2 linked regions of the Danio rerio genome follow. The protein of the gene in region 2 binds, or shares a complex with, the protein of the main gene of each other region. Links are inferred from orthologs where the notes say so. Each region holds a gene or a part of one and is shown on either strand. Other genes may lie near its edges.

Evidence for each region.
Region 1: taf1a (region 2) and polr2k share a complex: the UniProt entries of both Homo sapiens proteins name them as parts of the pol I pre-initiation complex. The link is inferred for Danio rerio from reciprocal best matches to the Homo sapiens genes TAF1A and POLR2K.

The regions. Positions count from the first base shown.
Region 1 is NC_133194.1:13,081,151-13,085,439, reverse strand, and holds the start of polr2k (DNA-directed RNA polymerases I, II, and III subunit RPABC4), read right to left. Parts: upstream 3,072-4,289; 5' UTR 2,992-3,071; intron 2,728-2,991; 5' UTR 2,726-2,727; coding exon 2,665-2,725; intron 2,468-2,664; coding exon 2,375-2,467; intron 1-2,374. UniProt on the Homo sapiens protein: DNA-dependent RNA polymerase catalyzes the transcription of DNA into RNA using the four ribonucleoside triphosphates as substrates.
Region 2 is NC_133195.1:55,132,272-55,136,102, reverse strand, and holds part of taf1a (TATA box-binding protein-associated factor RNA polymerase I subunit A), read right to left. Parts: intron 1,904-3,831; exon of another isoform or gene 1,791-1,903; intron 1,473-1,790; exon of another isoform or gene 1,410-1,472; intron 1,179-1,409; coding exon 1,065-1,178; intron 933-1,064; coding exon 734-932; intron 1-733. UniProt on the Homo sapiens protein: Component of the transcription factor SL1/TIF-IB complex, which is involved in the assembly of the PIC (pre-initiation complex) during RNA polymerase I-dependent transcription.

The sequences.
Region 1 (4,289 bases), on a different chromosome or scaffold from region 2:
CAGCTCATAACTACAACATTTAACATCTTTTATATTTTTAATGGTTAATGTTTGGAATAGCCCAATGAAATTAAGTAAATAATAGAATAAAGTTACTTTTGTTTGAATAAACTTATTTCAACCACCAAGTAGGGCTGTGCAATAAACAAAGTCTGTTGTTTTATATTATACTCTATCATTTACTTTGTTTACGGATGCAGACAGAAACATGAACAACGGCATCATATGGGAAATTTGCAATCTAGAAAGAACAATGTTTACATTTGGCATTTTATTTAGCAATATTTTTTACATTATGTTGGATTAATCGTTGTAATCATTTGGTATTTAAAGTGTGTTTTTATTTTATTAAGAATTTATTCATATTTCTACATCTTTACTAAAAACATTTGCTTTGAAGTTCTAAATGAAGTAAGAAATATGTTCACACATGAATGAGCGCATTTCTGAGTATATACTTTAAAATGTAAAGAACAAAAACAAATAGTGCTTGAGATGTGGTCAATATACTGAGGTTGGCGCCCTTTAATTTTCTCTAGGCCAGTTTCATTAGTTTGCCTTTTTTTAAAGGTCCTGTGAAACTCAAACTAAACTTTTTTTTAGATGTTAGTTTTAAGGATATCTATTAGCTAGTAGGGTTGGGTCGATGGACGAAGCCATCGTCGATAGACATATCGATGCTGAGCTGGCATCGCTAACCTCCACCCCACCGTAGCAGCAATCCGTTTGTGAAAAATACACACTTAGGCCCCGTTTACACTAAAGCCTGATTCATACTTCTGCGTCAGGTGACCGGCGTAACCCACGGCGCAGGCAACGCGCGTGGCTGTGCATTTATACTTCTGCGCGCTGTCTCTGTCGGTTTGCATTAACACTTCCGAAACGCTAGTTGGCAGTGAGGTGTAAATGTTCCTCTGTGTTGAGTTTCTTCGCTACTTTTTTGCATTTCCTGAACACTTCTGGGATGTACAAGTGGCTCAAACTCGCTCATTTTAAGGCAGGAACCGGCGGACGTGCAACAACTTTAACTATAAGGTAAACACAAAACAAAACTTTCCATCCGGAGCTCCATCACGGGACTCCACACTTGTAAACAATCGCTCGCGCGGCGTCGCGCCATTCGCGCAGCTCTCGGTCCCGCCCAGACTCGTCAGCGCTACCAAGCCGACCAATCACAGAGCTTGCGCTACGCGTTGTTGCGATGTGTAGTTACATTTTTTGAGAGGTGCACGTCAGTGACGGCGATGGCCACGGCGAAGGGCTATGCGTCAGCGCCGTAGCATACGCCGGTGTTTGACCCAGAAGTATAAATCAGCCTTAATACATCTTAGTTTTAAAATGGCATTTTAGAACAAAAGCGACCTACGTCCACACAGGCGTTTCATCTAGCATTTCTGAAAAGCCTTCCTTCCACTCGATATCGATGAAAATGCACACTGTTATGCCTGCAGTATACATTCGTATCAGAGCTTCAGACATTTTGGTCTTTTGAATCTATCAGGTAATGTGTCACAGCATCAGTACACTGCTTCGGTGTTTCGCTTTCATGCTTATACTTAGTAATTTTAGTGAAAACCTCAGATACAGTTGGTTGGTTGTGCACCTTTTTTTCCCAACCAAGTTTGTCAATGTCATTGTAAAGACACAGATCACTCTATTGGCCTATTCATGCCAGAGTCCAATGGAAAAAGTGATTGAAAGGTGGTAATTTGTGTGCAACTTTATTTATTTTTGATTTGGTTATGGGTAAAACAAAGACCTTGTGGGTCAGGTAGTTGAAACATGGGCTACAAATAATTAATCCGTTATGAATTAATAATTAATTCACTGACGCCTACAATAACGATGTTATCGTCCATTACTTTGTTTCACATTATACATCATATGATGGCAAATTGGTCAACATCGCCCAATCCTATTAGCTAGTGTGCTCCAAAACAGTGACACAATATGCATTTAGAAAATGTAAAACTAATAAACATCCAGAGCTTAAAATTACATCAAATATGTTTATTTGAAATTATTTTTCACATGTATGTGTATTTTCAAAATGTAGGAATATACGTGTTCCCCAGTTTGTACATAAGCTACCAGCAGCTGTGAGATTTCAGTTAATTTACTTTTATTATACATTAAACTACAAACTAGTGTACTTTTCTTGGCTATCAAGTAAAATAAAGAAGTATTGCAATAAGTTTTTTCTCCTTAACCTCTTACTAAGGCTAACTGTATTGTTGTATCCCTAGTTACTATATCATGACATATCTCATTATTAGCAAATGAGAGGATTATAGCGTGAAATTAATTTAATCAACTTTTTTTGTCGTATCAACCAGGCCTACCACAAAGCATTGGTTTAGTTGATAAAGGATACATCTTTTGGTCCTCTTTTTGTACATGATCCTGTAACCACACTCTCTGCATCTGATGGGGTCTCTGGCCTTGATCTCGTTTTCTGTGTGACACTCTGAAACAAACACACACACACACACACACACACACACAAAATTTCAAGCTCAAAAACAGACTAGATTGTGAACATCTTGATTGTTTAGCATTAAGAAAGAAATGACTGATTACAAAAATATAATCAATACATAAACCTTCTAATAGATCAATATACATATAGATTATAAACATAAATACAATCAAAAGAGCAATCACCTCCACAAATGTAGATCATTGGCTGTTGTTTGGGGGGCTGAATGTCTTTCTGAGAATCCATGGCTTAAAGCAAACACACAAACATGATTATATAGTCTAAATTGAATAAATTCATTAGAATATTACACATTATTTGACCTAAACCTATCGTAAGAGCACATTTAAGAGATGCTGCACTATGCACAAACACGTTCTTCCATTATAAACCCAACAAGACACGTAATTCATCATATTAAAATTGCAATAAAACCCCGCACATATCATTCATCCTGTCATTTATCAGTGTACAAACGAGTACGAAATGTAAACATTCAAAGCATTAGCTACCTTTCACGCGTGAGCTCTCTGTTTGCTTCGAAACGTTTTTCGTTCACGCATGCGCACAAGCGACATCACATCACAGTAACGAACAATGCTATTGGTTGGCAAGAATTGAACCAATCTCGTCATACGCCGCCAGGAGGGAGGACATTACCATTTTACGCAGAGACTTACAGGTTCATCTGGGACTTTTATTTTATTACTGCCAGCAATTTCAGATGGCGGAGAAAAACTTCGCGGCGACGTTTTTAAACATTCATTTAGTGACAGACGTACGTAACCATGAAGACGTATTATTTGTGTACTTTTTTGTTTAACGCTAATGGTTTATATTAATTCATGTGTAACGCTGTTATTAAACCTGTCCTGAAATTGTGAAACAGTCTAAACACATTTATTTACTAACAGAAATGTGTTATTATTAATGAATAATTATTATTTGATTTTTTGTATGAGTGAAATGTGTTTCGTACATTGTCACTTGATTTGTCGGTGTTGTTGACGGTCTCAGAGCAGGAAGTAACGTTAGTGAGTCGCAGCTGCAAAAACTGCCAGTAACGTTAAACGTTCAGCTCTCGGGTAAGTTTGCAAAACTTTACTGTCAGTATTATATACTATTATATGTTTTATAGGTATAACCAGATAGTCTGTACACTGTTAGTATTTATGTTTGTAATGTGTTTTTTTTTTACTGGCAGTCGTAATCCCGCCTCACCCTTTCAGTTTCTGTTTCTCGGCAATGTGTTTAATACATATCAACATTCCCATTTATAATGTGTTTATAACGAAGGTATATGTCAGAACAAGCTGATCCAGCCAATTGTCATTTATTCATATTAATAGAGTTACTAATTATTGATAGCTGTTTATCTTTTTGATATACTGAAATGTTTTGTTACTGTTTCAATAATACTGAAATACTGCTAATTCCTTAAATATTATTATGATTTTTTAAAACTAATGTTCATTTTTAGAGCAAAAGATAGATATACTTTGCATTTGAAGGTAATTCAAATCCACAGGACACATGTTGGCCATTAATAACTAAATCAAGTGTAAGCACAAGTAATTAAAACGGTTTATGAAATGTAATAACATATTTAAATTATTTAATATTCCATAGTTATCAACAGGTGTATGCATTGTAACTATTGAGGGCAGCAATATTCAGAAACTATCCCCAAAAGACATCTCAGAAAGATATTCATGTTTTGTTTTTATGTTGAATGTCTAGAATGATTGTATTGTAATCAAAATGGTTCCGTCAGTAACATTACAGTTATACAATAGATAATAAACAACAA
Region 2 (3,831 bases):
AAAGAGCACTGGTCGCTCACTTACCAAATCTGTAGAGACAGGACAATCACCAGCAACTAGAGCCGCGTCTTTATTAAGAGGAGACTACAAGCGAATCCGGATCTCAGCGTTTGCAGATGAGAACAGCTCTCAGGTAAACAATAATCCTCCTTGGACACGTAAGTTATTGTTGTCGCGCGTCGCGTACACTGTTAATCCACACGTGACTCCAGCTGAGCTCTCACAGAGAGAAAATGAAAACGAAACTTAACGGCAGCAAACTATAAAAGCAACACTTCACGCTTGTTTTGCCAATACAACGTGGCGTCTTTGCTGTCTACATTGTGACAGTAATGAATATTAATGAAGTTGCACAATAGAGCGCGCTGATTGGTTTGAACCAAGCCTTACTCATGCATTAATGCATCACACTGTAAGACGTAATAAGACTCACTCTGGCACAGACGTCCAGTCTGCACGCTGGAATACACGCTATTATGTCATGACCGTGACGCAGCTTCAAAAATTCGTTTCAAACCGGAAGTACAAATTTGCTTGGAATAACGCAAAAACAACCAATTTACACTTTTTAGTGAAATATAGGTGTCCTAATAGTGTTTTTAGCAGTGTGGGACACATATACGACTGTCAACAGCTCAAAACATGTGTTTTGGTGTTTCGTGACCCTTTAAGTTTGAATGCACAACAGGACACTTTATGCTAGATTTTCTAATGTCAGTGTATTAAATGTTACCGTTTTCAGACACAGAGGACTTCTTCTCGTTCCAGATCAAGTAATCCAGTAAGCCGCAGTAGGCTGTGATCAGCGTTTTGCTCAGTGATTGAGATCGGGATACCCTTCCATATCTCCAGCTCTCTGCGATGGAAAGCTGCCGTTTGGCTTCATCCATCTGTCCGTTCAGCAGGAGATGATAGCAGTGCTCCAGACTAATCTACAACAATCACAAGTAAACGAATCACATGCTGATAATGATGCAGACTGGGGCGCTCTGCTATTGGAAATACATGCTAGACACTGAATGCAGAGTAAATATGGAAAGTTTGAGAGGTTTAATAGCACGCACCTTTGAGAAGTTGAGGACCCCGACGTTCTTCAGCTGTTCATATAAAGCGTTGAAATCTTCATTGCTAGTGTTTGGGAGATGATGCAGGATTTCTGTGCCCAATCTCCACAAGATCTGATGGACACAATCAATACACACCATTGAAACACGCTGCGTATGCACAGCAAATTCATCAGAGTTAAATTCTTGGTGTTGAAGCATTTCAGAGTGAAGTGTTGACGTTAAAGAGTTAGATTTTGATAAATGAATATAATAAGAGTTAGAATTGATTTTATTCAGTGCGAAATCAAGGAGTTATCTTTTCAACACTTGGTGGTGTTATTTCCAACATCCGGGAATTCATGCGGCCCCAGTCACTGAAGAATTTTCCAGACGCCATTTTCCATCTGATGTTGAGAACAGCAACTGGTCAGTCAAACTACCTAAATGTTGGTATTTTACTGACTTTCTTTAAGGAAATACAGTTGTAAACATATTGTTAAGTTAATAACTTTAGAATGGAGTGACAATTTTAAACTTCTGCGGTTCATTCATGGTCGTTTGTGTATCTAGCTTAACTGCATTACTATTGACTTCTTTTCAAGAATGTTTTTATATGCTCACGCATACATAGTGCAAAAAAACATCAAATGTACATCTTCAACACATTTCTGTCATGCTTAATGCCATTTTGTGCGTTGTTACCCATCTGTAAAATAAAATCGACACTTCTCCTTTAATTCGAAGCAAACTAGCGAGGGAATCCCCGGAGCAGCCTAACGTTAGCCTACTCTGTCCGGATGCTAACGGCAACACAGGACGGTTTCCATAAGCTCTGGAGAGTTTCTGAAACATATCTGGTGAGTAAATGAACATATGTACTTGTATATTACTTGTAAAAGGCTTCCTGACTAAAACATATGATTGTTTGTTATTTGTGTACGTTAATTTGGTTATTTTAAACACTGCGGCCCTTTTAAACGGGTTCATTCGTGGTCGTCCATATACCGTTAGTCCATAGACTCGCGTGATAACGTACGCTTGAATTATATTAAGTGTTGACAACCATTAACCGTTGGAATGTTAACATTAATGTCTTTAAATGACCGCGTTTGCACTTTCTCAGACATTTAACGTTACAGAAGTCTCCGGAAAGTTGCGGGACTAATGTTAACGTTATCCAGAAAAATGCAGAGACTCCCAGATGCCCAAGTAGATGCCCGCAAATGAATGATAATCTCCCGGAAATCGCGCGTCTCCCGCCCGGTCATTAAACACTTTGCACACCCCTCTCCACCGCATCCCTCCCAGCTCTTCAGGTACTTCGCGCGTAAGTCACCCCCACCGCTCTTTAGGTACTTCGCGCGCAACTCATCCCATTGCTCTTCAGGTACTCATCTCTTCCGCCACCTCCCGCAAATCAACTCTGTATCCCCCGAAAATGACTTTTCCCAACTCGGGATGTCTGACGTTAGTAAGCAGTGTTGGAAAGGTTACTTTGAAAATGTAATAGATTACAGATTACAAATTACCCTATTTAAAATGTAATAAGTTACTGTAATTTTCGATTACTTTATAAAAGTAAAGTAACTAAATACATTTGATTACTTTTTGATTACTTTTAAGTTTTTAATAAACATTTTCAACTAAATAATTTTCAAGCATTTATACAGAGCAGGTGTGAGCTTACAGTAGCTCTGTTTACTGTTAAAATCTCAAAAGCTTTCATCACTTAAATAAAATTAATTTAATTTATTTAAATTTAAAGTAGAGCCACCACAAAACCAGACCTTATCACAAAAACATGTTTACTGTTGTTACAAAATCACAATGTTAGTTAGTTGTGCAGGTGATTCATGTGTCATTTGCAATAAAAAAAAATACATCTAATTTTTGCTAATTTTTTAAATCGAAGCCACTTAAATCCAAATCAATCACATCTTAGTGATCAATAAAACTGCCAATGAAACATATGAGGCAGAACTGTTCATTTCAATTATTTACTGTAAATAATATGCTGTACCAAACAGGAAAACATTATAGTACATAACAGCAAAAACAAAAAAATCCAATAAAACCAGGTGTTACACATTTTAAACAGTATTGATCCGTGATCGTTAAATGTAGCTTGTGTGGACACTACTGCACTAATAACATAGCTTCACGACTGTGAAAAGGTATTTGATTTTTTTAGCAAAGCTACCGTCACGCTACTGAGAAATGTAGTTCAGCTAGCTACACTGTTAATGTTATAACCTCACTTTGGCCAGAGGAGTCTGCTGGTGCCCTGAAATTCACAAATCGATAACTTTGTGAGTCATAATATATCATGGGAAATGAAAGAGTCTGTTTTTATTTCTGTACACTCAAGATAACGACAAAAAAACGGCTGTTTTATAAAACAGCGAAAGGCTTCCATAGCTGCAGATACTTCCTCATGCTTTTCAATGGCAAAGAGGATTAGATGCGGTGCGCCCATGACCATTAATTTGATTTAACAGTAGGGGGGACAATAAATATAACATTTCTTATGATTAATTTTTTAAAGATTTTTTGAAGGGGACACAAATAATACAGCTGAATTGTACTTCTAAAGATATGTCCCCACAGTTAAAAATGGTTTTATTGTTTATATTACAGCATGGAGACTACATTATAGTTATTTTCAAAGTTTTTCTCAGGTTCAATGACAGCAAATTTTTCTTGAAAACTATTTATTGCATTGTTTGTTGTGTTTACAGTCATCAGACTGACTCCTGAAGCCGAATAAATGCAGGAAAAGATGTTT